Astyanax mexicanus: one gene and its partners. The protein of the gene in region 2 purifies or fractionates together with the protein of the main gene of each other region. This does not show direct contact. Links are inferred from orthologs where the notes say so. Each region holds a gene or a part of one and is shown on either strand. Other genes may lie near its edges.

Region 1 (7,432 bases), on a different chromosome or scaffold from region 2:
ATCTCAAATTTATTTGCATGAGACAACAGGATTGAAGCAGTTAAGGTGAAAAAATAAGTATGGTGTGAGTTGTATCTTTAATGGCTTGTGTAATCTGCCTATTCTTTTTAGAAATGACCATCATATAGTGTCTGTGTTTCACTAGCTCCTGTGTTTCACTCCTGATTTCTCTGTAGGCCATTCTGATGTTAAATCTTGTGGTAAAAAGTAAATGTATGTCCTTCCTGTAATGTTTGGAAGTAGGTACACTAAGCAATATTTAAAAGGCTAAAGTTGAGCGTTTTGTATATCTGGTATCAGTGCTGAAATAATGCCACACAACTAAGTAGCTAACGTGTACAAACAGGAAAGAGATATAAAAGACATGAGACATATATATAGGTGGAAAAAAAGTTTGTTAATATTAGCATGAAAAAATATATACTAACAATAACAACAAAAAAGGAATCAACGTTTGTTAAAAAGATGCTCGTAAAAAGGTTAAATTTAATGTTTTATATTAACTTTACATTATAATAACTTTAAATGTTTAATGTTAAAAAGCTAGACATTATTATATTTAATATATATATATATATATTTAATAATATTTACATTTATTTGTAAAATCACCAGAATGACATATTTAAACATAAGTCGTTTAAAAATAATTAATTAACTTTATAAAATATAAAGAACATTTAAAAAAATAAAAAAATGTAAAGGAAACTAAAGAGAAATAGAGAGATACATACAGAGAAAAATAAAGTTGTTTCTTGCGTGGTGGTTCCCAGTCCTCTTCTGTGAGCACGATGCAAGGGCCCTTGTGCTCGTTGTCCCTGTCTGATGGAGGATCCAGCTGTCTGCAGGCAGATGTGGCAAACCTAAAGACAACCGAAAATGAACATAATCCTTGGACTATTTAAAATAAAAAAGTACAGTAAGAAATGAAAGTTTTTGAATTTATTGTATTTGAATGTTATTTTTTATATCTATGTAATGAGAAAAATGATGGTTAATTGTTCATTGTATAATATTGAAATGTTATAATCTTTAATAAGGTCTATTTAAAAAGGTCTATTTAAAAAGCAGAGTCTCCAGGTCAGTTCCACGAAGCACAGGTGTGCAGCATGGCTGCGCAGACGCCACACCCAGTACTCGACCCTGTCCTCCCACTCGATCGGGAAGAAAGAGGGGTAGAACAGGCCTGCAAATAAACAGAAAAACACAAATAACCTCATCAGTGCTGCTCAAAACCATCTCCACTCATTTACTGATCAGTCAGGTACAGCTGCATATGTACAAAGAGAACCAGATTAAAGAAGGGAAAATAAGATTAGTGAGATTAGTGTAGAAAAGTTGTTTCTTACAGTAAAAAACGACACAAGCGGTTGGTCTGGGGAAATGGGGTGGTGCTCCTCCAGCCAGTCCAGGTAGTCCAGCAGCTCCAGCCCTGAAAAAAAACCTGGAAAAGACATGGTGAGAAAAGCCCTGATAGAAATGAGGGAACAAATGTGAGAATGAGTGAGAAATGTGTAAAATCTAGTGAGAAATGTGTAAAAAAAAATGAGTAAAAATGTGTGAGAATGTAAATAAGTGAGAAATGTGTGAAATGTAGTGAGTGTAAGAATTTGTAAAATGAGTGAAATGTGAGAATGAGTGAAAATGAGTGAAAATGAGTAAAATTTGTGAAATAAGTTGAGGATAAATCGCAGATCAAAGTCGCTTGTGTTCAGCCTTGAACTTCTCAGTCCAATCTGAGCTTCAATCATTAATATCTAAACATTTTAAACCAAACGCTTGCTTAGTAACACAATGCGGCTCAGAAATTAAATAAACAGACTTGCCAGATTGTAAAGAGACCTATGAAATCCGTTTCATTTATTTATTTATGTATTAATTAATCAATTAATTAATTTAGTAAGTTAGTTAGTTAGTTAGTTAATTTTATATTATGTATATGGTCTGTAGTGAGATGAGATTGAGATGAGATTGAGATGAGTCCAGCTACAGGCAGGAGGTGGAACACCTGGAGGATTGGTGCAGAGAAAACAACCTCTGCATCAATGTAAAAAAGACAAAGGAGATGATTGTGGACTTCAGAAGGGGCAAGCATGCCCACCTCCCCCTGCACATTGGAGGATCTGCGGTGGAAGTGGTTGACAGCTACAGGTACTTGGGTGTGCACCTGACCAGCAACCTCACCTGGAGCAACAACACTTCCACTCTGGTCAGGAAGGCACATCAGCGGCTCTACTTCCTCAGGAGGCTGAGACGAGCTGGACTCGGGAGCGTAGTCCTCACCTCCTTCTACAGATGTGTGGTGGAGAGCGTCGTGTGCTCCAGCATCAATGTGTGGCATGGAAGCTGCTCTGCTGCAGACAGGAAAGCACTGCAGAGGGTGGTGAAGGCTGCACAGAGGATTGTTGGAGTTAGCTTCCCCAGCACCACAGACATTTACACCTCCAGGTGCAGGAAAAGGGCCACCTGCATCAGGAAGGATCCCACCCACCCAGCACATGCACTTTTTGTCCCACTCCCCTCAGGCCGGAGGCTGCGGAGCATTAAGTGCAAAACAACAAGACTCAGAAACAGCTTCATTCCGGAAGCTGTAAAATCCGTGTATCATTCGTTCATTTGATATTCAATTGAGAATCAAAATCGGAAAATTAAAAAACCAATTCGTTTTTTCGTTTTTTCGTTTTTGAATATAATACCAAAAAACGAATAACGGCTTGTATTTTGTATTTTTATTTGGTTATCCAAACAAAAATTGGAAATTTAAAAAACGGACCAGGAGCCGAATTTGATTTTGATTTTGAACTTGACCCATTTGTGTGCCCCGGAAGTTACTGATTTGTTTATTCTTGGTGGGTTTCTGTTGCGCGGGAGTTCACTGCAGTGTTATCTACACAGTCTGTATTGCTGTAGGCTTTGGATGGAGTTGAGGATGGAGAGTTTTATCTTGTTCAGAGGAACTAAACGCGTTGCAGTGAAAGAAGACGATATGACAACAGAAAAAATCGGCAGGATCTTTCAGGTGTTTGTCTAACGTTCCGTAGCTAAATGTCATATTTAGTTAATACCTTCAAAAAGATCTTTAATTAGGCCAGAATGTGGTTCCAGTCCGGCCATGCTGCCTACAGCAATACAGACTGTGTAGATAACACTGCAGTGAACTCCCGCGCAACAGAAACCCACCAAGAATAAACAAATCGGTAACTTCCGGGGCACACAAATGGGTCAAGTTCAAAATCAAAATCAAATTCGGCTCCTGGTCCGTTTTTTAAATTTCCAATTTTTGTTTGGATAACCAAATAAAAATACAAAATACAAGCCGTTATTCGTTTTTTGGTATTATATTCAAAAACGAAAAAACGAAAAAACGAATTGGTTTTTTAATTTTCCGATTTTGATTCTCAATTGAATATCAAATGAACGAATGATACACGGATTCTGTAAGACTCTTAAACTCCACTTAACAACACACTGCACTGACACCAAGGACAAATTACTGTTTACTGTTTACCAACATGGTCACTTTACTTGCACTGAGACACTTTATCTCCACTGCTCTAATTCACATTATCATGCTGCTATAGCACACTTGCACTCTGGACTTCATGTTGCTGAACCTTTCTACTCTCTATTTATTTTTTTTATTCTTGGGATATTTATCTATCTATTTTGTATATTCTATTTCTTTTATTGTATTCTTTTTTTATCTATATATCTATTAATAACAGCTCTTTGGGTGTAAAACTGGATCGTGAGATCACAATTTCGTTCCACCTCATGTACCACATGTGTGCGAATGACAATAAAATCTCCTTGAATCCTAGTACATGCTCAGGTCGAGGAGGAAAAAAAGGCCAGGTGGCGTGCTTTTCCTATTTGACAGGTTACATTCAGGTCGCATGTCCATGGATTGGATACGTATTTGATTTAGGACCACACATGAAAGTGATTCAAATCTGATTAGAAAAAATTCTAGCAATTGCAATAGGGTTTCAGCACCTGCGGGGCTAAAAAAAAAGGTTACACTGGCTGTTACATCTCTCAGCTCACCAACCAGTTAGCACTAGTAGCAATAATGCTAGCGTCTGTACCCTCTAAAACCTGTTTAATGTAGAAAACCGAAAATACATAACCAGGTTTTCTTCACTTTTTAGCAAAATACTACAGTATATTTTGTAAAATTAAAGAAAATGTTGGGCAAATAGTTTATTACTAATTTTGAATTTGTGTTTTTAGCCGTATAGCTCCATTCATTCCCATTCGTTGAGGACTCACTCGCGGGCTCCCTCTAGTGGTTCTCAGTAGTTTTCTGTAATAACGGGGAGATTATAGAGAGTGGGCAGGCTCTCCATAAACCGGCTGTGGAGCTTCTGAGCTACCGTGACTTGAATGGGAATGGACTCGCCCATGTAGCTCCGCTCTCCCGGGGCGGTCACCATGGTGGTGGTGGGGGTGGGATACAACAGTGGAGACGGCAGACAGTTTGTCCAAACCTTTATTTTCATTTCAGCATAAAATAACAGCGCGTCTGTTGATTAATGTGTTTAAACATCGTTTATTTTAGGAAAAGAAGGAATGGACGGAGTTTTAGTACTTAATTTTGAGTGGTTTTGAAATGGAAACCCCCCAGAAATGGAAGCGCTGAGCGGGGTGAAGGAGTGTTAGGAAAATGCCTATTCTCCAGCGTCTGGAAGAGGAACGGGGAGAGTACGAGTGACCGCGGCTCCGCGGCTCTGTCAGCCCCTCTCGAGTGAACCCTGGCCGGGCTGCGACTTCAGAGGGCTCGCCTACCTGCCTGTTGTTAGCTCCGTCACAAAGAGCAGCCCCAGAGCGGTGCGCTGTAGGGTCGGGACCGGGCAGCGGAGGAGGAAAGCCCTGGGCTCGGGCCTTGGGCAGGCAGGGCGGGAGGGAGTCAGTCTGCGCGGCCGCTGAGGAGAAGGAGACGGGCGGGCACTGCTGCCGCTCCGCCGCCTCTACTGCTGAAGCTTTTACCGGAGCTGTTTTTCTCGTGAGCTTTACGAAGACAGGAGGAGGAAAGAAGAAGTTTCCGACTGGATTTTAGACTCTGAACTGTACAGAATAATCCCAAACAAAGCAAAACAATGGCCTCATACGTGGATAACAGCTTTCGGCAGGCGGTCATGATGAATCCGGCTGAAAGGACGCAACAGGTCAGAACGGTTCCTGCTGCCTTTTACATAGGCATTATATCACTGGCTCCTGCTTTATAGTGACTCAATTTCCACTATTTCCACTGTTTACACTGTTTAACAGCTAGCTGTCTGTCTGTCTGAGGCTTAAGTGTTATGTTCTCTTTAGTGTTAGACTGGTAATTGGCTGTAAAGCTGCTGGTAGCGGTTGTAACCTATTCCCGTTACCTTCTGTCACCATCACTATTAAGATTAGGCCTGTCATCATGATTTGGTTAAATCTGGACAATATTTAATTCCAGAAATAATTATATTATTCTCATTTTAAACCATTACAATCTATAATTCTATAAATTATTGCAATAAAGGATATTTTTCTAATTAAACAATAAACAATATTCTTCTCATTTTAGGCTATTCCAATATATTGTTCCAGATATACCTGCAATAAACAACATTACGGTCATTTCAATACCATTGTGTGCTACTGACACTATTTAATTTATGCACTGTTAAAAAAAGAAGTGGCAGATCAATTGAAAATCTTGAAAACAAGGATTTTTTTTAGTGCATCTCTATTTATACCACTGATAAAATGATAACAAAACAGCTTGTTGTTGTAGCTATTTTTTTCGGACAATGTATTATCATTATATTGTCATTGTCATTGTGGTCATTTTAAGGCCACTTAGTGCAATTACACCTATTTAAAAATCAATGAATATTTGTAATTGGTAAAGAATATTTAGACATTGGCAATGGAATTTCATTTTTTAAGTATCCTCAATAAATTAAACACTGTTATAATAAAGCAGCAATTTTTAAACAAAGTCTTATTCACAGTAAGATCTTGGCTCTCCCTTGCCAAAAAAAAGATCATTGGCAATATTGAGATGAGCAATATTTGTTGAGATCATTCCCATTCTCATTCATTGTATGAAAACTCGATGACATCATTATTGTGACTAGACTATTTGACATAATATTTTACACCAATGATGGAAGCTGCCTTTTCGTTTTATTTTTGAAGGACAAGGCTTTTCCAATCACCCCTAGAGTGGGTTAAATGAGTCTGATACATGTCCATGTTCTTTTTAATGTGAAAGTCACATGTATGTTTTAGCATTGCTATTGGGCGAATTAAGTGTTAAGTGTTGAATATAAGTGTCATTACTATACTTCACTATATCTCCACTTGTTCTTCTTATTTTGTCCTCCCTAGCCAGCATCTCTGCATCCCTTTCATCCCCAGCACCCACAGCATCCTCCCCATCTATCCTTTGTCATGAACAGTAGCAGCAGCAGCAGCAGCAGCCTTATTACTGTTTTTTCACATAGCAACAGCTTTGAATCGATGACAGTGGTGGATTTTTTGGCACTGTAATTGTCTCTATTTGCATTGACTGTGATGGTTTGCGATTCACCGATCTGGACAACAATAGGCTTCCCCAATCAATACCAATTAAATGCTGCTGTAGCAGACATTGGTGGCGATGGGCCATAGGTTATTCTGTCTGTCAGAGATCTGATACCATCCCCTGCATTTATTGGTCTGAATTAAGTGGACTAAACAATGCCATGGTTTATTGGGCGCTGGAAATGTCCGTGCTCTTAATGCAGTGTGCTGGTTTGACGTGTTCCCCTGTGGCAGGCTGTGGGTGACAGGTGGGAAAAGCCAGAGATTTTGACAGTCGATGTGTGAAAAAGGTCAGCGGGGGAGGCCTTTGTGAGTGTGGATTGTTTAGCCTGAGACGAAGAAATATTGGGATTTCTTTCAGAAACAATAGTAGTATCTTCACCCTCTAGTTGATTTTCTGATATATATATTAGTTGCGGGAATCACAGGGCATCTCACAATGTAATATTCTCATAATCCATTCCCCACAATAACAATGGTATCACAATACCGTGATTCTGCAATACTCGATGTACCGTGTGAGTATTCTCTATTATACTTCATGGCATATTTGTTACTGAAGAAGATAAAATACTCCTAAATAGGCAAATACCAGGATTTATTGATTTATTGTTGTCAGTTTCACAGAATGTAACAAACAATATTCTTCACTACATGTTTACACTTTAAATAATTTGACTGATTGGGGAGTTAATCTTAGCGAGTATAGAATTCCTTGGTTTCAATAAAATATACACATTTGACGCCATATAGCAATAAGTTGAAATAAAATAATTTTACTGTTTTAATATATTTTATTTAAGTTTCTTTATCCTCCCTCCTTCTATAAAGTTTCTATTTTAAAGATACTAGGATTTGTGTGACAGTA
Region 2 (7,311 bases):
ACTTGCAATCGCTTACAGTATCACAATATGCTGTAATATATTAAATCATAGTCCCTATATTGTGATTTTTATTGTATCGCCAAGCTCTTGTTAATACACAGCCCAAGTATATACAGCTCGGGGACAAAATAAATAAATAAATAAGAGGACACTTAAAAATTAGGAGTTTCTTTGGAATATAATCAAGAGGAAGATGGATGATCACAAGCCATCAAACCACCAAACTGAACTGCTTGAATTTTTACACCAGGAGTAAAGCAGCATAAAGTTATCCAAAAGCAGTGTGTAAGACTGGTGGAGGAGAGAGAACATGATGCCAAGATGCATGAAAAAAACTGTGATTAAAAACCAACCAGGGTTATTCCACCAAATATTAATTTCTGAACTCTTAAAACTTTATGAATATGAACTTGTTTTCTTTGCATTATTTGAGGTCTGAAAGCTCTGCATCTTTTTATTATTATTTCAGACATTTCTCATTTTCTGTAAATAAATGCTCTAAATGAGAATATTTTTATTTGGAATTTGGGAGAAATGTTGTCTGTAGTTTATAGAATAAAACAACAATGTTCATTTTACTCAAATATAAACCTATAAATAGCAAAATCAGAGAAACTGATTCAGAAACTGAAGTGATCTCTTCATTTTATTCCAGAGCTGAATTTATATATATGACTTACGAGATCAGATCAGCTGTTTTTCTGCTGTAAGTCTGAACTGGAGCTCTGTTAGTGTATCTGTAGAGGAAGTGAGTGGAGATATGGAGGCGCAGGGTTTCCTGCAGTGATCTGATCTGCTGAGAAGAGGAGGAGGAGGAGGAGGAGGAGGCTGAACTGGATAAATCTCAGCCCAGTAGGAGGAGGAGGGGTGAGCATGCGCAGAAAACACTCCCAAACTCCTCAACACAACACTAAATCTAATACTGCTATTCTACACCTCCCTCCTTCATTCAGTTCTCATTTAAAAACACTAAAACAACCAAATTATATCACTCTCTCAATTAATATATGCATGGGTTTAGTCCGAGTGTGTATAAAACACATTTAGCTTATATAAGAAAAAGAAAGACTGTCTGTAGCTGTAAACTCCAAACTTAAAATAAAGTGTTTATAATGCTTCAAGCATGTTTTTATCTATCTGGAGTAGGATTTTAACAGTTTAAACAGTGTATAATTGTGTTTTTAAGCTGTTTTATGAGTTTATATTTAGTTTTAGGCTGTTTATATTGGAGTCTGGAGTGGGTTTGTAACAGTTTAAACTGTGGTGAAACATTTTAAACAGTGTTTTTAAGCTGTTTATAGTTAGTTTTATGCTGTTTTTACCTGCCTGGAGTGGACTTAACAGTCTAAACTGTGGTAAAGTATTTTAAAGTGTTTTTAATCTCTTTTAAGTGTTTTGTACTTAGTATTAGATTGTTTTTACCAGTCTGGAGTGGGATTTTAGCAGTTTAAGCAGTGTAAAAGTGTGTTTCTAAGTGGTTTTAAGTGTTTTATAGTTAGTTTCAGGCAGTTTTTACCCGTCTGGAGTAGGATTTTAACAGTTGAAACTGTGGTAAACTATTTTAAACAGTGTTTTTAGGCTGTTTTATAGTTATTTTCCAACAGTTTAGCAGAGTTTTAAACCGTGTACAAGTGTGCTTTAAGCTGTTTTAAGCGTTTTATAGTTAGTTTCAGGCTGTTTTAACCTGTCTGAAGTAGGATTGTAACAGTTTAAGAAGTGTTTAAGTATGTTTTTAAACAGTTTTAATTGTTTTATTTCACTTGGGATTTTAACAGTTTAAGCAGTTTTAAAGTTAGTTTTAGTGTGTTTTACCTGTCTGGAGTGGGATTGTAACAGTTTAAGCAGTTTTAAAGTTAGTTTTAGTGTGTTTTACCTGTCTTGAGTGGAATTTTGTAACAGTTTAAGCAGTGTATACGTGTGTTTTTAAACGGTTTTAAGTGTTTTATAGTTAGTTTTAGTGTGTTTTTACCTGTCGGGAGTGGGATTTGAACAGTTTAAGCAGTTTTATGGTTAGTTTTAGTATGTTTTTAGCTGTCTGGAGTGGGATTTTAACAGTTTAGGCAGTTTTAAAGTTAGTTGTAGTGTGTTTTAGCTGTCTGAAGTGGGATTTTAGCAGTTTAAGCAGTGTGTAAGTGTGTTTTTAAGCAGTTTTTAGTGTTTTCTAGTTAGTTTAAGTGTGTCTTTACCTGTCTGGAGTGCGATTTTAACAGTTTAAGCAGTGTATAAGTGTGTTTTTAAGCAGTTTTTAGTGTTTTCTAGTTAGTTTTAGTGTGTTTTTACCTGTCTGGAGTGGGATTTGGGCTCTGGAGGTTTGAAGAAGGAGTCTGGGAGTTTCCTCATGCGCATGGGGACGGACGGGGGCACGGCGGCGTTCTTCGGGTTCATCACGGCGTTAAACAGCGCCTCCAGGTCGGTCTCCGAGTCCCCGCGGACGTGCACGATCTGGTGCCCGGCGGGAGGGTTGTGCTGGCCCGGATCCATAACTGCCAGAAGATTAGGACCAGCTGTAAAAAGCTCCAGCAGCGGGAGTGGAGGAGTGGAGGGGAGGGGGAGCAGGCCTGGAAAAGTTTACTAAAAGTGTAAAAACTCGGGGAAATTCAGCCCGTAAACTCCAGAAACGCGCGGAAACACCGAGATAAAGGTCCTCCGGATCCGGTCCGCCCGGGTTTACCCGAGTTCTGCTGAGATAAAGCCAGAAAAACACTGAAACAGAACCGAACTCAGAACCGCAGACTCGGACTCGCTGCTGCTGCTGCTGCGGACTCGCGAGGACGCGCCGAGCGACGCGGGCACGCGCATATCTCTCTATCCAGCAGTTACTGCGTTAAAATCCAGTTTAAAAAAGTTTTAAAAGTATAAAAACAGCGAATTAAACTGTATTAAAGCGTTAAAATAGTAAATATTCAGGCTGAAAGTGGTAAAAAGCCCGGAGTCTCTCTTCCTCTCGGCTCCGGACATCAGGACTCGGTTCAGTGTGAGACTAAATCACTGCTCTCCCAAACTTTACTCCCAACTTTCTGGGCAGGACTTCAGGAACTCCGAGTCACTTCAGGAGTCGACTCTTCACAAAAAGATCCGGTTCAAAGAATCGATTCGGCTTGGATTTACAAATCTACCAAACGTCCAAAACAAATAAAATATATTATTCCAGCTGCCACTTAAAACTTTCTGCCTAATAAATTAAAATTTTTCATTTTATCACCATACAATTAAAAATAAGCGATTGGATAGAGGGATGAAAAAGTATTTTTACTTTTATTTGCAGTAACTGCTCTTCTAGGGGAATATTCGTGTTCTATTAGTTTCACTGTTTTTTGAGATATAATGTTCAGTAATCAGATAAAAAAATCAGGTAAAATTATTTTATACTCAGATTTACTACAGTGATGTGCGTTTATTGGTAACACTCTGTTATACATAGGATTCTCTTTTTTATCTACTTAGTAGTAATAAAAGCTTTTTGTATGTACTTCTCAGAGATGTAGATTCAGAGAGAGAGAGAGAATAAAAATTAAATTGTTCGTTTTTCATCATGGAATATTACTTTCATACAATTTTAAGCATATTAAAGCATATTATAAATAACAAAACAATAAAATAAAATATATCTCAAATAAAAAACCTTAAAGATTAAAATGAAAAACAATGTGTAAAAAAGAATATATAAAATATAAAAGGTTAAACACACAAATACAAATGAAACGTTTAAAATTAAATTGTTGGCTAAAATCAAATAGCTGTTAAATAAAGGTAATGGACTATTAAATTGACTTATAAATGCTTTATATACCGTAAAAGTAAGGAGATAATGTATTGAATTGAGGAAGTTATTTATTAAATCAACGGAGAACATTTTAGATTCAATTAAATTTTAATAAATCAGTTGATCTCATTTTATTAAACTAAGGGAACTTTTTTAATACTATTAAATATTATTTTATACATTATTTTTATTTTTTCTTAACAATATATATATAAAAGTCCCTCCTGACTCCTGATCTGTTTTTTGTTTTTAATGATTTTTACTTTTTCCAATGTTCATTGTTCCGTTTTTTTTTAGTTTTTTTATGGATACTTTTATTAAAAACACCTTTTTTTAAATCATGCTGATTATTTAAATAATTTATGCATTATTTATTTTTGTGAGAGTTAAGGGTCATAAGTTTCTTTTTTTGTCTTTCTATATATATATATATATATATATATAAAACACATCAACATTCCCTTACACTCGTGAATCGGTTCAAACGAATGATTCAGTTCATGGATTTTGACTCTCACGTGACCGCTGAGTTAGAAGGGGGCGGGGCTAAACTGGAGCGTTTAAAGACTCCACAGGCTGTTGTTTATAATTTCTTATAACTGCAGCTAAAATTAAACTTATCCAGTTTAATTATCTAAATATTCTATTTTACTTACTTTACTTTACTTATTTTAAACTAAAATAGCGATTAAACAAAACCCAGCCATGTAACAGGAGTGTATTTTGTTATCCTGTTACCTGTTGCTTCAACTCTCTTAAAAAAATCTCTAGAATAACATTAAATAATAACAGAATAACAGAAAAATAGTATTTTACACTGATATAATGAAAGTGTGGTGATTTTCTGGTGCAGTTTGTGCTTCAAATGTTACCAAAAATCAAATATTTAAATAAAAAAAGGGTAAATATTCATATACCTGTATACTTCTAAAAACCCTAAATTATCAAGGGAGAAAAATATAATTTTGTGGCTTTAACTCTAATGATATAATAACCTACTTTTAATTAAAGTATGTTGATTTTCTGGTGCAGTTTGTGCTTCAAATGTTACAAAAAATCTAAAGCAAAAAAACAAACAAATAAATAAAAACAGATTTTTAAATAAAAAAAAATATATATACATAATTTTAAAGAACATAGTTAGTGCTTTATTTTATTTAAAAAAGATATATGTTTTAACAATAAAAACTCAACAAAGGGAAATAGCTGATATATTGTCTATTTTTCTGGATATTTTTGTTGATAAGACTGAATTTTAATAGAAATCAACCTCTTTACAATATGTGAAAAAAATTGCCTTAATTTGTTTTATTTTAAAAGTCTTCATAAATGAAGAAATATAAATTATAACAGTTAAGAAAATAACTGATTTTACTTAATGAATAAAATGGTTGATATATTGTTTATTTTTTGTATATTTTTGTTGGAAGGACTGGAATTTAATTTTAGTAGAAATCAAACTATTTACAATATGTGAAAAAGTGCCTTATTAAGGTTTATTTTATTTGAAAAGCCTTAATGAATGAAAAAAAAAACGTAAAAAACTTTTAAAAACATAAACCGTGTATGTATATTTGTATGTATAAGTGATGGTGGGTCACATGGTCTTACATTTGCAGAACAAAGCTTGTGTTAAAGCAGAAAATCAGAGTTTTATTCTGATTTTTATTGAGTTTTATAGAGTTTTATGTGAATTGGTGCTGCATGCAGGCTGGTCTTTGCTCTCATTCACCCAAAATAAACAGAGCTCTGCACTTCAAAGCCGCCGCTCTTTAAAAATAAAGAAATAAATGGTTTTTCTGCCTCCGCTGTGCTCCATGCTGTTCCCATGATTGTGATGCTAATCCCCCTTCCCTCCGCTTTCAGAAATCGTTTTGTAAAGAGCGAGCCAGGCCGTCTTCCTGAACCCTGAGCCGGGAGAGAGGGTGTATAACTGTAGAGCGTGAAGAATCCAAGAGAAACTTTACTTTTATATACTTTCAGTTCTTTTATTCTCTTCGTCTCTTCAGACTCTCTATAAACTGAAGAGCTGAAACAGTGATCAGGATAACTAGAGGCCTGACACCTACCAGACCTGCCCCAGTCTATAATAACTTATCCTCTGCAACAGAGGGAACTCTTACTCTTCCTTTCCTGGGGCGGTCCTGATGAGTGCCAGTTCCATCATAACGTTTTTGGACGGTCTTTGCGGTGACTGCACTTAAAATGTTTCAAATGTATCCTTCAGGCACGTTACAAACAGTATTAGACATTATCCTGACGTATAATTTCAACATTCAACCTTAAATTAACATTCATTGATGTTAATCACTCAGTAAAACACTAATATCCTCCTGAGACCTGGAATTTTACTTAAATTTCAGTCCTACATAGTAACTGAATAGTGAAGTGATGCAGACTATGAAGGAACACATAAAGAATCATGTAGTAACTAAAATAAGCTTTGACCTTATCTAGGACCCTTGTGAAAAAGCTGTATATTTAAATATAATCATAGTGTACTTGAACTATATGCAGATAATTAAAGTATATATATATATATATAAAGTATATTTCAGTATACTTTATTTGGCTGTGCTAATTTCGTACTGGTGATGTACTTAATACAAAAAAAAAAAAAAAACCTTAGTATTATTTTAGAAAACTGCTTCTTATAATAATACTACTTTTACTAAATGTGCCATAGGAGCCTTTATTTCTGCAATAAAACTATACTTCAGAGAAATTTGTTAGCAAAACATATATTTTTTGTTGCTCATACAAATGAAAACTGTGCTGATTAAACTTTTATGTCTTAAAACTAGGCTTAAAAAAAAAGTTCGCTTTAGTTGTGTGTAATTAAAATAACTTTATCAGCTAATTCTTGCAATGAGATATGTTGCTTTTGTTTTTCAAATGTGATGTTAAATGTATACTTTAATTAACTTTTTCACACAAATATACTTAAATTGTATTAAATATCATTATATATAACATACACATTTACATTACATACAGTCTGTTTGGCCAAGGGCTAATAAACATTGCTTCATTTGTAAATTTGAAACTAAACAAAGTTTCTACTCATATCTTGAGTTTAATTCATTTTCTTTTACATTTTATTAAAAAACTAATAAAAAAAAGAGTAGCACTTTTTTGAAAGAAATGTAACATAAGAAAGGTGAAGGGCAAATATTAACCATGTAAGCTGTTTATATTGCTTGCAATTTAGGTGAAGCGAGCATGTGTAAAGCATTTTAATGTAAAATTGCTTAATTTTGCAAATATATGAACATCACACAAGGGTTAAGTACAGACCTATTTTAGCATAGTTTAAGTATAATTCTTTTCACAAGGGGAGGCTGGTAACTCTGGTGAACTTATCCTCTGCAACAGTGGAAACTCTTGCTCTTCCTTTTCTGCTGCGGTCCTGATGAGTGCCAGTTTCATCATTTTAATGTTATTGATGTTTTTTGCGATAACTGCACTTTTTATTAATATTATTATTTTTTTAATTAATATTAATTTTAGTTCTTATCTTGTAAGTAGCAGGTTTGTTAACTCAGGTA
Region 3 (7,685 bases), on a different chromosome or scaffold from region 2:
AAATTGGAGAATGGCAGGGTTCACATGGGCATGGCAAGTATAGGTTGCAGTTTCCTAGTCAAACCTCTTCTCAGTACTCTCTCCTTCTTTCTGGTAGCAATACATAATAAGCAGGACTGAAGCCTTCCAACACTCCAACACTTAAACATGAAATCAAGAATCTACAAGAGTTAGTGTTAGTGACAAAACAGAAGAACCACATGTGTAGCACGTGTGTTACACTAGAGCACTATTAGTTTATCGTGATCTTTGAAATCTTTGATTTTATCAAATTGAAAACCTCTGGAATATAATCAAGAGGAAGATGGATGATCACAAACCATCAAACCACCAAACTGAACTGTGTGGAGAGTGGTGTAAGTGGTGCAGTGTGTAAGACTGGTGGAGGAGAACATGATGCCAAGATAAAGCATGAAAACTGTGACTAAAAAACAGGGTTATTCCATCAAATATTGATTTCTGAACTCTTCCTAAATTAATATGAACTTGTTTTCTTTGCATTATTTGAGGTCTGAAAGCTCTGCATCTTTTTTGTTATTTTAGCCATTTCTCATTTTCTGCAAATAAATGCTCTAAATGAGAATATTTTTATTTGGAATTTTGGGAGAAATTTTGTCTTTAGACTTATATTGGTGTGCTGCACCACATCAACCACTAATACCAAATTAATAACCAATTTACATCCCATTTGTGTCAAATGATTTGGAATTTAGACCCAAATTAAAAGGTTTCTCTCAGCCTGATAAAACTCACTCAAACATCTTTAATGTGTTGGAATTTAGACAAATGGACAACTTATTCTTTCTATTTTAAAAACTATTTAGAGGCTATTTTATTGCGTTTAAATGTGTTTAATTGCATTACTGCCCTACACATCTAATTACGTCTATTTGGGATTCAGACTAAATTTAAAATGGGGGTTTTCTCAGGCCGAGAGAAACTAAAACCTCCCTGATGAGTTTAAAATAGTTAAAATAGAGTTATCCCCTCATTCTTACACAATCAAACCTCCTTAATGTGTTAAAATTGGGATTTATAGACTACTCATTCTGTCAAGTTGGGTGCATACCAAAAGTAAAATGCATTTTTATCAATTTAGCATGCTTTTTATGCTAAATATGTGTATTTTTGGGATAAAGGCCTTTTCACAGGCTGACAAAACTGAAACCTCTCTAATGGGTAAAAAGTACATAAGGTCAGTCTTCTAAAAACTAAGTATGTGCCTATTTAAGTTAAGTTTTAGACTCAATCTAACACAACTCAAACCCCCTGAATGTGTTTAAGTGCATTAAGTCACTGCCCAATACATCCAATTAGTGTCTATTTGGGATTTAGACCAGATGAAAAAGCTTGTCTCAGGCTGAGAGAAACTCAAACCTTCCTAAAAACTAATGGGGGTCGTGTAATGACATGTTGGCTGCCAAGAATAATGACAATGAAGCGTAATTAAGGGTAATGACCACTTCCCGAGAGGTTCAACAGCACTGCAGCAGCCACAGTGTAAACTGCTGCATGAGCAGCTGTATGAATGAATGAAACTGTTAATGAATAGCTTGAAAGCTGTTATTATTTTTTATTTTTTTTAAGTTTTGTGGGTAGAGAAGCCTGAAAGAAGAGCATAAAGCAGATAGAAATACAGTAGGAAAGTTTAAAGCTAAATTGTAGTGCTGTAGTAATACTACTAAAAGTCTTGGTCTTGAATCAAATTAAACAACTTTAAATCCTAGAATCAACTAGTAAAAATCTTGGTCTAGATTCGCATCTGATGCGTCCCCGTCTCAGTATTGACTCAGACTGAATACTCAAAGCCTCAGTCTTGGTTCAAACTTAACTATTCAAAGTCTTGGTCTTGACTTGATTTAAATTACTAAAAGTATTGTGCTTGACTAAAATTAAACTCCTAAAACCCTTAGTCTTGACTTGATTTAAATTACTAAAAGTATTGTTCTTGACTAAAATTAAACTCCTAAAAGAGTCTTGAATCGGGCTTTTAGTTTCCCAGTTTTGTTTCAAACTCTAAAACTATAGAAAGTCTTGGTCCTGACTCAGATCTGATGTGTACTGGTCTCAGTCTTGAATTTGAATCGACAACTCAAAATCTTGGTCTTGACTCAGACTCTACAACCATGAGTCTTGGTCTAGACCCAGACTATACAACCTTGAGTCTTGGTCTAGACCCAGACTATACAACCTTGAGTCTTGGTCTAGACCCAGACTATACAACCTTGAGTCTTGGTCTAGACTCACACTCTATACCATGAGTGTCGGTCTAGGCTCAGACTCTACAACCATGAGTCTAGGTCTAGATTCAGAGACTAATTACTCAAAGACTCAGTCTTGACTCAAATTCAACTACTCAAAGTCTCGGTCTTGAATTAAACTACAAAAAAAATCCTGGTCTTGACTGAAGAATAAACTAGTAAAAATCTTGGTTGTGACCCACATCTGATATGTCGCGTTCTTGACTAAAATTAAACTACTAAAAGGCTCAGTTTTGACTAAATTGAAACTAGCAAAAGCTTTGTTTGTGACTAAAATTAAACTACTCAAAGCCTCAGTCTTGAATCAGGCTTTTTGTGTCCCAGTTTTGTTCTTGACTCAAACTCGGCTATAGAAAGTCTTGGTCTTCACTCAGACGTGATAACAGTTACTGAAGTCTTTGTGTTGACTCGGATCGGATGTGTTTTGAGTATAAAACTATGTTTCTGGCAGTTGTTGATAAATAAATCTGTAGGTTAGTGATTGTCCGCAGTGTTAGTGTTGTTAAAGCTGTTTTAAACTCCGCTCTGAGTGTTATGGTTTTCTGGTTCAGTAAGAATCTGCAGCGCTGGTGATGAATTACCTCCTTGGTGTCTCCGGACATGGTGATCAGGCTCCGGGCGGGCGGCGGGTGGAGGCTGTAGGGTAGCGGGGCTGGAGCTGTAGTGTAGCCGGGTTCAGGCTGTAGTTCAGCGGGGTGGAGGTTCGGGTAACTCCGCTCAGCAGCGCGCGCTCTCCCTCTACCACCACTTTTAGCAGGACTCACCGATACGTCATCCACCACGTGTGCGCGTGACGCGGCGCTCTCCGCTTGCCGTTATTTTTTTCCCCACCGGTTTTCCGACATGTCCCGCCCCTGCGGGCCTCTGACTGGCCTTGACGGTTGATAGCCTAGCTCTCTGATTGGTTAAAAGTTTGTACTCAGCGTTCACTACAATGCTATCTGTTTAGATAATATTTATCATTAATTTAAGATACTAATACATTATTTTTTAGATGATATTTCCTTATTTCGAGATACAAAAAAAATGTTTTGATTAGCTAGTATCTCATTATTTTACTATCTTTAGATATCTCATTATTTCGAGATACTAATGTATTGTTTTGAGATAAATTCTCTTTTTTTTAGATGCTATGGCATTATTTTGAGAAAGTAATTCATTATTTTTAGAAGCTATCTCACTAGTTTAGATGCTATCTCATTTTTTTGGAATATTAAATTATGTTTAGATATTAGGCTATTATTTTTATATATACTAAGTCATTTGAAGATGATTTTCTTACATAATGACAAATATCTTAAAATAGGGACTTTTATCAGTGCCACAAGTAGAATCATTTTTTGTTCCATAAATAATCATTTTTGTTGTATAAAAAAGTTTATATTAGTTATTAATCTTAACATTCACTTATTTAAACCTTTAAATATGAAACCTTTAACTTATACTTATTTTACTTATTTGCTTCACTTTTTTCACTGTGCAACTATGTGCAATATATACACGGCAGTACAACAGTTATATATTAACTGTCACACCACACTCATATTTCTTTTGTAAATATGGCTCTTTATAGAATTAAACATTCTTAATTGACAATATTTTATGTGTAAAACCAAAGCTGATTTTTTTCCTTAAATTAGTCCATTTAGGATTTAAAATAAGAACTCAATCCTCCCCAGTGTGCTGAAAGAGTGTGAGGGCTGATAGCCTCGCACTCTTATTGGCTAAAAAGTTTGCAGAGGCGTGGCTTTGCGTAAACGGGTGGGTAAAAAAACAAGGTGTGTCGTGCACCTTTATACTGTGAACTTCTAAGCCACACTTATACACGTATTACACACATACAGTCACGTAGTGAATCAGGAAACCCCACGAAAACCTGTCTTTTAATATATAAACCTTTTTCACAATACTAATTAATTGGCACAATAAACACATAACAGAGAAGGTAAATAATTTTATCAAAAGTATTTAAAATGAATTTCTAAAAATGAATGAATAAAATAAAACAAAACCCCCCATTTTGTAAATTGCTTCTGTATTTTTATTTAAATTGGCCTCAATTACAGAATTAATTAAGTAAAAAGTAGTTTTAAAAGTGAATGCACCTACAATGCAAGCACATGTAAAAAAGGTTAAAAAAATTCCCAGATTTTTTTTTTCCTTTTTTTGTGTTCCCCATACACTATACACTTTATGCTGAGGTTTATCTGTTCCCTACACACACTCTACAGACCAAACAGAACAAAAGTATAAACAAAAGTATTTTCCTAATGCCGTCCATTTTCACCTGACAAAAAAAAAAAAAAAAAAACACTTGAACGCATGTCGTAATTACGAACTCCAACCTCGAAAGTAGGAATTTACGAGGAGGACTTGAAGGCAGCATGAACCCGCTGATTTTGGCTGATTCAAAAATGCTAAAAAAAAATGGTAGGGGTAGTTTGGGAGGGGCACTGCAGTGATGTATGGGTTTAGGGGCGGGGCAGAAGGAAGAGGTAATTGGGCTGAGCAGTGAGCAGTGTGCCTCTGGACGTCACCAGGGGGGCGATATTATCATACTTGCCTTTAGCAAAGTTAAATATAAGAAGGTGCTGTAGATGTCGAAATGACTGCAATAAAGAACATTTAGGAAATGTTTAATCAGGAATGACATGTTTAATTACTTCAGAGTAACACATTTTAATTTTTAATAAATAAATAAAAACCGTGGTTTAGGGTTTAGTGCCTCTTTAAAGCATAGTGATAAACTCCTAATAATAACAATAAAGGTTGTGGTGAGTGTGTTTACCACTAGTTAAGTACTGTATGTGTGTTCAGTCTGTTCCAGCAGATGGAGACACAACACCATACAATCAGCCCCAGCGTTAGAGTTATACTCTCCTCTCTGAGTTCTGACCTCGGCTCTCCTCCACGTCCCTGTTTTTACTGCTTTTCTGGGACGAAAGGGACGAATTAACCTCCAGCTGACCTGGTTTAAGAGTCCGGCTCGATTCAGGAGATAAACCAACTCTTTTTTCAACATATTTATTTAACTTGTTTTTCCTGCGTTTAAACCTGAACAAAGCCACAGCTGGAGCCTAAGAGAGCCCGGCCGAGGTCTGAGGAATAAAGCAGGTGTTTTCGCCGCGGTGAAGATGGCCGACGACTTCGGCTTCTCCAGCTTCTCCAACGGCGCCGAGGCTGAGGAGGACCCGGCCGCGGCCTTCCTGGCGCAGCAGCAGAGCGAGATCGCCGGCATCGAGAGCGAGGCGGACGGCCTGGGGCCGAGCGGAGGCACGTCGTCTGTCTGGGTGATAGCGTGTTAGCCTGTTAGCTTAGCTTAGCTTGTTAACATTAGAGTCTACACAGATAAAAAGAGTCTGGACAAGGCGATACAGTTAATTTAACAAGGTATAATAAAGCGAAAACAGGATTTTAACGTTTTAACACCAACAAGACACACATTGGCTCCTTAAAAGCGCTTAAAAAATACAAAACAATTAACCAATTTCTAAACAAGCTAGCAAGCTAATGCTAACGCTAAACAGCATCCAGCTGTTCAAATCAAGAGTCAAGTCAAGAGGCTTTTATTGTCATTACATCTGAGTACAGGTACACAGTGTGATGAAATTACGTTCCTCCGGAACCATGGTGCAACATAGAACCACAAGCAATAGACAACATAAAGTGTAGGAGTGACGACAGTGCAACATAAAATTATAAAATTATAACACTAAATAACAATAAATACAATAAATACAAAAGACGAGACAATTTAAAGTCAGGACAGTGCAGTACCGATACGGTATAATAAAGTGTATAGTGAGGATAAGGTGCAGAGATGTGTGACATACTGTAACATATAGAACATATATAATCACAGCAGTTACTGAGGTAGAGTTTATAGTTTTTAAGAGTGCAGCAAATAAAGTCATGTCAGCCTCTGTGTGCTGACTGGGTGTGTGTGTGGGTGAAGTTCAGTTCTTTGTGAGTGTAAAGGGGGGGGGGGGGGGGGTGTACAGTTTAGTTTTGTGCGAGTGTGTTGGGTGAGTGGTGGGTGGGGTGGGGGTTCAGTTCTGTCTCTGTGCGTTGAGAAGTCTGACTGCCTGGTGGATGAAGCTGTTGCAGAGTGAGTTAGCAGTAAATTATTAGTTTGATACCTTGGATACAAATGTAATTTATAAAAATTGTGACGTTCTCTCCTTTTAATACTGCTTCTCTATTTATTTTTCTATTTATTGTAAATTTATGAACACTTTATTTTGTTCTGAGCTGTGATTTTAATAAAAAGGATTCGTTAATCTTGATTAATCTTGAAAATATTGCACACAAGTGTGTATAAACTAATGGGATATATACATCTCTGAAAAAAATTTAGAGAGCACCTCAGTTACTGAATCAGTTTGTCTTATTTTGCTATGTGTAGGTTTATGTTTGAATAAAATGGACATTGTTTTATTCTATAAACTACAGACAACATTTCTCCCAAATTACAAATTAACTTATTGTCATTCAGAGCATTTATTTACAGAAAATGAGAAATGGCTGAAATAACAAAAAATAAGCAAAGCTTTCAGGCCTTTCATATTTATAATCATAAAGTTTAAAGAAAATCAGAAATCAATAATCCTGGTCTTAATCACAGTTTTACACACTGCTTTTGAATAACTTTATGCCACTCTTGTTGCAAAAATTCAAGCAGTTCAATTTGGTTTCCTTTTGATTATATTCCAGAGGTTTTCAATTTGCTAAAAATCAAAGAAACTCGTCTCAATTTTTTTTCCAGAGCTGTAGAGAAAACATTTTTAGGTTTAGTGAAGACAATGGAAATGACAGTTTCCATTAAACTCCAATTAAGGTGGAATATACTAAGTGTATCTTTAGTGGTGGTAGTGGTAGGTTCTGGTAGATTCCAATGCTGTGAGCGTTTCTCTACCTGGTTAGTTAACTAGTATATTACATCTTTACTGTTAAACTTTTGGTAACATAATTACTGTAAGATTCTGGTAGGTTCTAATGTAATGATCATTTAGGGTAATACATCTGGACTGTCAACGTCCCTGGTAGAATATCCGCTGGTGTATTCCACTAGGTTTCAGTGTTTTCAGCACTTTTTATATAAGGTATATTAACACTACTTACTGTAGTACACCTGAGCTTTTAAACTTCTGTTAAAATAACGTCTGTTGCCACCTCACCGAATGAGCAAGCTGATCATTCATCTCTGGTTTACATATAGGACTCAGTAACAGTCATATAGCCGGGCAGGTTTTACAGCATTCCTCTTCTACTAGTAGTTCTTCTGAGAGGAAATACGAAAAGCGTTGCTCAACAAGACCAGAACTCACAGGATTTTACAGTCTGTCTCTCTTCTTTTCTTAAATCAGATGCGTTTGGAGAAGCACCTGCTGCAGCAGTAAACGGAGACATGTTTGAGGTGTGTTT
Region 4 (7,797 bases), on a different chromosome or scaffold from region 2:
CTGGTAGCACAAAAAAAATATTATTTAAAGCTGATATTCCAGTATGATTTTGGATTTTTTTTCAGACCAAATACACATCAGATGAAGAGTTCTGGTATTCTCAAAATCAATGCTTTATATTCATTATTTCTGTGCAAAATGGCTTTCATGTCATGTTGCCAATTCATTTTAAAGGATAAAATCAGCTCGGGCCAGGCTAATTCCAGGTTTTCCTTAAAGAAGAAGACTAGTACTCTTCAGATCATGTGTATTTGGTCTGGCCCAAGATTAAAAAGTCCTTGAAAATCACACTAGAACATCAGCTTTAAATTAAACTTTTTTCTGCCTTATGGATCGGTATGCCATGTTGCCAGTTCATTTTAAAGTATAAAATCAGCTTGGGCCAGGCTAATTCCAGGTTTTCCTTAAAGTAGAAGACTAGTTCTCTTCAGATCATGTGTATTTGTTCTGGCCCAAGATTAAAAAGTCCTTCAAAATCACACTAGAACATCAGCTTTACATAAAAACAATTGTGCATTATGGATCGGTATTCCATGTTGCCAGTTCATTTTAAAGTATAAAATCAGCTTGGGCCAAGCTATTTCCAGGTTTTCCTTAAAGTAGAAGACTAGTTCTCTTCAGATCATGTGTATTTGGTCTGGCCCAAGATTAAAAAGTCCTTCAAAATCACACTAGAACATCAGCTTTAAATTAAACTTTTTTCTGCCTTATGGATCGGTATGCCATGTTGCCAGTTAATTTTAAAGTATAAAATCAGCTTGGGCCAGGCTAATTCCAGGCTTTCCCTAAAGTAGAAGACTAGTACTCTTCAGATCATGTGTATTTGGTCTGGCCCAAGATGAAAAAGCCCTTCAAAATCACACTGGAACATCAGCTTTACATAAAGAAAAATTGTGCATTATGCATCGGTATTCCATATTGCCAATTCATTTTAAAGTATAAAATCAGCTTGGGCCAGGCTATTTCCAGGTTTTCCTTAAAGTAGAAGACTAGTTCTCTTCAGATCATGTGTATTTGTTCTGGCCCAAGATTTAAAAAATCTTCAAAATTGTACTGGAACAGTGGCTTTTTTGTGCAAAATGGCTCGTTATACCATGTTGCCAATTCATTTTAAAGTATAAAATCAGCTTGGGCCAGGCTAATTCCAGGTTTTCATTAAAGTAGAAGACTAGTACTCTTCAGATCATGTGTATTTGGTCTGGCCCAAGATGAAAAAGTCCTTCAAAATCACACTGGAACATCAGCTTTACATAAAAACAATTGTGCATTATGGATCGGTATTCCATGTTGCCAGTTCATTTTAAAGTATAAAATCAGCTTGGGCCAGGCTATTTCCAGGTTTTCCTTAAAGTAGAAGACTAGTACTCTTCAGATCATGAGTATTTGTTCTGGCCCAAGATTAAAAAGTCCTTCAAAATCACACTAGAACATCAGCTTTATATTCAATTTTTTTGTGCATTATGGATCGGTAGGCCATGTTGCCAGTTAATTTTAAAGTATAAAATCAGCTCGGGCCAGGCTAATTCCAGGTTTTCCTTAAAGTAGAAGACTAGTACTCTTCAGATCATGTGTATTTGTTCTGGCCCAAGATGAAAAAGTCCTTCAAAATCACACTGGAACATCAGCTTTACATAAAAAAATTGTGCTTTATGGATCGGTATTCCATGTTGCCAGTTCATTTTAAAGTATAAAATCAGCTTGGGCCAGGCTATTTCCAGGTTTTTCTTAAAGTAGAAGTCTAGTACTCTTCAGATCATGTGTATTTGGTCTGGCCCAAGATGAAAAAGTCCTTCAAAATTACACTAGAACATCAGCTTTACATAAAAAAATTGTGCATTATGGATTGGTAGGCTATGTTGCCAGTTCATTTTAAAGTATAAAATCAGCTTGGGCCAGGCTAATTCCAGGTTTTTCTTAAAGTAGAAGACTAGTACTCTTCAGATCATGTGTATTTGTTCTGGCCCAACATGAAAAAGTTCTTCAAAATCACACTTGAACATCTGCCTCATATTTTTTGAGCGCAATGGCTTTTAAAATATAATTATATTAAATATATATTTAATTATTTATTGTAATATATAATTATAAATTCAGTAATTAAAACAAATATTTTACAATATACAAAATTATATTTAATAATATATTGTATATTTACATTGTTAATAAACAGATGTACTGCTTTTCTTCATTCTATCTCCTTCAGTGTTGATCTGTGAGGTGTTTAATATAAACAGCGGGTGTTTGTGAACGCTCCCTTTAGTTCACGGTGGTTCAGTGAAGCGGCAGCTGCGAATATCAAACCAACTTCAGCCGGGGAATACGAGGCTGCGAATATCGAGCCAAACGAATCTGGAGCTGCGAATATCAAACCAACTTCAGCCTCGTACTAAAGACTACATCAAATACAGTTCTGTAGGTTGTGTAGATTACTGGGGTTATTTGGAAATTCAGAAACGGAAATACTCAAACAATCTAAATCACAGAAACTCGTTCTTACCCCCTGTCGCGTCCACGATCTCGGTCTCTATCGCCATACGAGGAACTTCCCCTCATTTTACAGAATTTTACACAAACTCCACTTTACACTGCAACTATTTAACTAATTAACCAGCCACTAAACGACTGATATTTTTATACTGTAAATTATTCAGTAAACCAACTAGAAAAATAATAAATATCACTTTATAAGTGATAACAATGAATAAACTTAAAAATAAGCTCAACTTTTAGCTGAGAACTCGGGTTTGGGTTTGTGTTTGTTGTTGTTTTGCTAACTGTTAGCTTAGCATTCTAAATTAACTACAGTCTCAATCGTGAAGCTCCTCAGAAAATCCGGCTGCAAGTCTAAAATCGACCAATGCACGAATAATAACGACCGACCAACCGAATTATTTGATTTTCTTCAAATAAAATTGATCTAAATGTAAACTTTATTCGATAAACAATTCGTCGAATTGTCAGAGTCCGACTGCTTCGCTGAAGGCCGAAGACCCGCCCCCTATCCTCCAGTGTGGTGCCGAATTCCGCACCCCGACACAAACTGCACCCCTAGGACCCAATGAGAGGGCTGTTGTTTGCGCTTGACTCAAAATTGTGTCGATTATATATTGTCGTTGTTGTCACAGAAACATCCTAACTCTAAAAGGCGAACTACTGAACCTCTAAATTATCAAGGAAAAATATAAGATAATATTTATCATAATTAATAAATAATGTCCCCAAATTAATCAACAATTTCTTAAATTTAGAAAATTGTTTTCCCTCTAATCTGAGGGAAAGACTATTCAAATAAAGAGTATTTCTTGTGAAATTGAGGAAACGATGTATTAAAGGGAGGAAACTGATAAACATCAAGAAGGGCAACAGTAAGAGAAATTAAAATACTAATTTGAGTCATTTCTGTGTTTACAGGTGAAACAGGTGTGTTGAAGGTAGTTCAGTCAGCACGTTATCTTTAATAATTTATATGAGATAAATGAGATGAGCTTTATATAGTAAAATTAGTCAAATTCTTGAAGCGACAACTAAAAGGTGTTTTGGCCCGCCCAGACCGAAACCTAGAGGGTGCAGATTGCGACGGGTAACGTACGAAAGCAGCACACCACCAGCAGATACCAGAGATTCTATAGAGAGGAGAAAATTCACTTCAGAATCTCCTCCAGGCTTGTTTGACCACCAGGGGGCGCTCCTGAGTGAGTCCAAAACAGAGAGTCTATGGTCCAAAATGAATGTGTTCATATGGAGCAACTTTTATACTAAAATGTACTCATTTTCCCAACACAGAACAAAGCTTTTAAACTCCACTTTTTTTAGAAAATGTTTTGGCTGTAACTCCAGTATTAGCTCACCAACCAGTCAGCTCACAGTAGCAATAATGCTAGCGTCTTTACTGCCTAAAATATTATTACTGTAGAAAAACTGAAAAATAGACGTGTATTATTTGCTTTAGTAGTAAAATACATAATCCTACGTTTCAAATTTAAAGCAATATCTTGGCTAAGCGGAAATGTACTATTTGTAATCAGAGTTTTTAGCCGTTTAGCTCCATTATCTTCCACTTATTTTGGACTCTCTTGCGGGCTCCCCCTAACGGCGGGCAGCAATTCTCTGTGATTATAACGGTAGCGATAAGAAGTGGGTGCTCTCTTCATAAACCAGCTCTGCAGAGACTGCGCGTATATTTCCTGCGTAGACTGAAGAAATCTGCGCAGTTGCGGTTAATGAAAACATATTTTACACAGAATGCATTAAGCAAAATCATATTAAAAAATAATACAAGCAAAAAAGTACAAAATTATAAAACAGTAGCAATTTATTAACTATTTTTAAATTCATGTTTTATATCATTTTATTGTTGTTATCCCTTCTGCACGTATATTCTATCTATTATAACAACACAATTTTGGCCAAAAAACTAAATAAAAAAAAACACTGGTCTCTTGATGTGTGGTCATGACGTTGAAGTGAAAATACAGGAAGTGCTCCGGTGTTCTGTCGAGTTGGGTTACCTTGTCAAACCGCGCTACCCAAGTGTATATTTAACTGTAAAAATAAAGAAGCCCCATATTAGAGCATGTTCCCAGTAGGAATGTATCCCAGTAAATGTTGCGTTAGTATTTATGGATACAGCATAAATCACTGTGTCATGGTAAAGTTATGGCAACGAGAGCTTATTACAAACTGCTTTTGTATTTTTTATAATAATTATTGTATTCATTATTGTTATTAATTTACATTTACACTTTTTTGCAATGACAGTGAGTTCAATTTGTTTAATGCACAAAAAAAAACACGATAAATAATCAAAAAGTGTAGGTTAGCGCATGTGCAGTGCCTTTAGGAAGCACGTATCGATGGGTATCATAACTGGACAGAACACCGGTTCTCTCAGGCTGTCTGGATGTACTGTATTACAGATTCTAGTTAAATAGTGAGGAGAGTGTGTTCTCTGTAATGCTGAACTTTATTTAGAGCTTCATGTTGAGTTAACGACTGGATTAAAATATTAAAATGCCCCTCCTGGTTCAGAACAGACGGGTCGAGCGCGTGACTTCAACTACAGACCTGTTCCTCAGATATTCTCATCTAAAGGTGAGTAACGTTTCTCCGCTTTACAGCAGTTCAGCTCGAGTAACAGATCTCAGATCCCAGTGTTTAAAACCTGCTTCTGCTTCTTAAAGGAAAACGCCAAAGAGTTCCGGTCCAGACCCGCTCTGACTGTCGAGCCCAAGCGCCTCCTTTACGTTCAGCAGAGAGAATTCGCAGCCACGACACCGGCGGACAGTGAGTCTCTGTGTATCTACAGGTTAACTGTGTTCATCTGACTGTAGTTATTTATCTCCTGTCCTGAAGCCTGTCTCTACAGTTTAACTGTGTTTATCTGACTGTAGTTAAACTTACTTATCTCCTGTTCTGAAGTCTGTCTCTACAGTTTGACTGTGTTTATCTTACTGTAGTTATCTATCTCCTGTTCTGAAGAGAGGTATGTCTCCTCTACAGGTTCTGTCTCGGTCATTGGCTCTGGAGATGCAACTACATGTCACCTTGTGGTTTTGCGGCACACAGGTAGAGACCCAGTTTTAAAGAGAAACTAGCACTAAGTGGCCAAGTTGAATGTAGATCAGGTTTCCTTTACTAAATTGAGCCTTAATCCAACAGAGAAGTAAAACAAATAATGAAGTACAAATTATACTACTTCAACTCAAAAAATGTTCAGAATAAATGAATTTACATTATTGCAGTTATTCAGTTCAAAATGTGAAACTCATATATAGATGTATTACACACAGAGTGATCTATTTTAGACGTTAATTTATTTTATTGTTGATGATTATGGCTTACAGCCAATGAAAACCCAAAAAACAGTGTCTCAGAAAATTAGAATATTATATAAGACAAATTGGTACTTTTGGTAGTGTGCCAAGTCCTGCTGGAAAATTAAATCTGCATCTCCATAAAAGTTGTCAGCAGAGGGAAGCATGAAGTGCCGTAAGATTTTCCGGGAAAACTCTGCACTGACTTTGGACTTGATAAAACATAGTAGATCAACGTCAGCAGATGACATCATGTCTCTCCAAACCATCACTGATTGTGGAAACTTTACACTAGACCTCAAGCAGTTTGGACTGTGTGTCTCTCCAGTCTTCCTCCAGACTCTGCTCCCTTGATTTTAAAATGAAATGCAAATTTAACTGATGATCAGTGATGGTTTGGAGAGACATGTCATCTGCTGGTGTTGGTCCACTGTGTTCTTTCAAGTCCAAAGTCCAAGTGCAGAGAGAGATGCGAATTACATTTTCCAGCAGAACTTGGTACACTGGGCACACTGCCAAAAGTACCAATTTGTCTTATATAATATTTTAATTTTCTGAGACAATGAATTTTCAGTTTTCATTGGCTGTAAGCCATAATCATAATCATTAGCAATAAAAGAAATAAACACTTAAAATAGATCACTCTGTGTGTAATACAGCTATATAAAATATGAGTTTCACATTTTAAACTGAACTACTGAAATAAAATAACTTTTCTATGGTATTCTCATTTTGTAAAATGCACTACTTCGTTACTTTCCTTGAGTTTAAATGTTGGTTATCTATTTATTAATATTTTTCAGATAACATTTTACTTCTTCTCCTTAAATTTTACACAATTATCTGTACTTTCTACTCCTTATATTTTAAAAATAGCCTTGTTACTCCCATTTCATTTCAGCTTGTTTTTTTTTATTCCATTGTTTTGAACCCTATCCAGATAAATCCATTTATACATATAAAGTGTGGTAAAATTTGATTGTGGTTGGATGAGAAGTATAAACATATACCATTCTGACATCCTATTGGTTTATACACGATCCATAACACCTGCACGTCACGTCACACTCAGCAAGAACATAGCAGACGTATGTATCCTAGTATAAAGATGATTTGTGCAGAGACTCTTGAGAACTTGAGCAGCGAAATGTCCCAACTAAGCTTCTTTAATATATGTATTGTAAAAATACAATAAAAAAAAATTAACTGCATGAAAAGATCTTTTACAACCCTACATCTCCTTAAAGGCAGTGGAGCGACTTGTCTGGCTCACTGTGATGGTTCGAGCACTTTCACCGAAGTTCCTCTCCTTGTAAACGCTGTCACATCCTTAAGCAACCCTGCAAAGGAGGGCAGGTAGGCATTTATTTTTATCTAAAGATTTAGCCACACTTCATTTCCTGTCGACACATCATCAAGTGTCTCAGGCTTCCTCTCACAATTTAGAAAAAGGTAATGAATTCTGCATCAAATTCAAGGTATCATATCAATGTTTTAAAATGACGCCCAGCCCTAGTCTTAAATGAACACCTTTTTTGACCTCTTATAGGTCAAAGGATGTGTTGGGTATACAGTATGGACTGAGTGAACACCAAAAACTGCGTTTAGTAGTGATTAAAAGCTCTATTTTACACATTTTTTAAAATTGGGGCATGTTTGGTTTTCTGTGGTATAGACCCTTTATTAACATCAGTGAAACTGATCAGAACTAAATGTATTATTGCTTTATTCAGGTTAGAGCTTCATCTTGTTGGGGGGTTTGATGATGACTCCAAGACGTCCCACACACTCAGCCTTACTATACTAGGTAGGTAAAGTGCAAATCTCAGTTTGGTAAAAGCATGTAGGCTACAATCTTGTGGCTTGTTAAGTGTGAGTGTGTTTGTGTCCTTTATTTCACAGCGGCCTTTCAGAAGCAGAAGGACGAAATTCACTTAGAGACCTGCTGTATTACTGGTAGGTTAACATTCTCTGTATGTTTTGT

The links. Proteins that work in one complex are often made in the same cells at the same time.
Region 1: the proteins of yap1 (region 2) and rapgef2b purify together in Homo sapiens (affinity purification with mass spectrometry; 3 studies listed by BioGRID and IntAct, with this or other methods). This does not show direct contact. The link is inferred for Astyanax mexicanus from reciprocal best matches to the Homo sapiens genes YAP1 and RAPGEF2.
Region 3: the proteins of yap1 (region 2) and pdlim7 purify together in Homo sapiens (affinity purification with mass spectrometry; 3 studies listed by BioGRID and IntAct, with this or other methods). This does not show direct contact. The link is inferred for Astyanax mexicanus from reciprocal best matches to the Homo sapiens genes YAP1 and PDLIM7.
Region 4: the proteins of yap1 (region 2) and ddx17 purify together in Homo sapiens (affinity purification with mass spectrometry; 3 studies listed by BioGRID and IntAct, with this or other methods). This does not show direct contact. The link is inferred for Astyanax mexicanus from reciprocal best matches to the Homo sapiens genes YAP1 and DDX17.

The regions. Positions count from the first base shown.
Region 1 is NC_064417.1:26,717,753-26,725,184, reverse strand, and holds the start of rapgef2b (rap guanine nucleotide exchange factor 2), read left to right. Parts: upstream 1-4,417; 5' UTR 4,418-5,099; coding exon 5,100-5,168; intron 5,169-7,432. UniProt on the Homo sapiens protein: Functions as a guanine nucleotide exchange factor (GEF), which activates Rap and Ras family of small GTPases by exchanging bound GDP for free GTP in a cAMP-dependent manner.
Region 2 is NC_064416.1:3,554,715-3,562,025, forward strand, and holds the start of yap1 (transcriptional coactivator YAP1), read right to left. Parts: upstream 3,006-7,311; 5' UTR 2,482-3,005; coding exon 2,281-2,481; intron 1-2,280. UniProt on the Homo sapiens protein: Transcriptional regulator with dual roles as a coactivator and corepressor. Critical downstream regulatory target in the Hippo signaling pathway, crucial for organ size control and tumor suppression by restricting proliferation and promoting apoptosis.
Region 3 is NC_064426.1:2,414,841-2,422,525, reverse strand, and holds the start of pdlim7 (PDZ and LIM domain protein 7), read right to left. Parts: upstream 3,016-7,685; 5' UTR 2,864-3,015; coding exon 2,843-2,863; intron 1-2,842. Other genes in the region: cltb (clathrin light chain B), read left to right, coding at 5,396-5,534, 7,628-7,677. UniProt on the Homo sapiens protein: May function as a scaffold on which the coordinated assembly of proteins can occur. May play a role as an adapter that, via its PDZ domain, localizes LIM-binding proteins to actin filaments of both skeletal muscle and nonmuscle tissues.
Region 4 is NC_064412.1:31,361,787-31,369,583, forward strand, and holds the start of ddx17 (probable ATP-dependent RNA helicase DDX17), read right to left. Parts: upstream 3,016-7,797; 5' UTR 2,554-3,015; coding exon 2,498-2,553; intron 1-2,497. Other genes in the region: ntan1 (protein N-terminal asparagine amidohydrolase), read left to right, coding at 5,011-5,091, 5,181-5,283, 5,500-5,565, 7,061-7,169, 7,547-7,620, 7,716-7,769. UniProt on the Homo sapiens protein: As an RNA helicase, unwinds RNA and alters RNA structures through ATP binding and hydrolysis.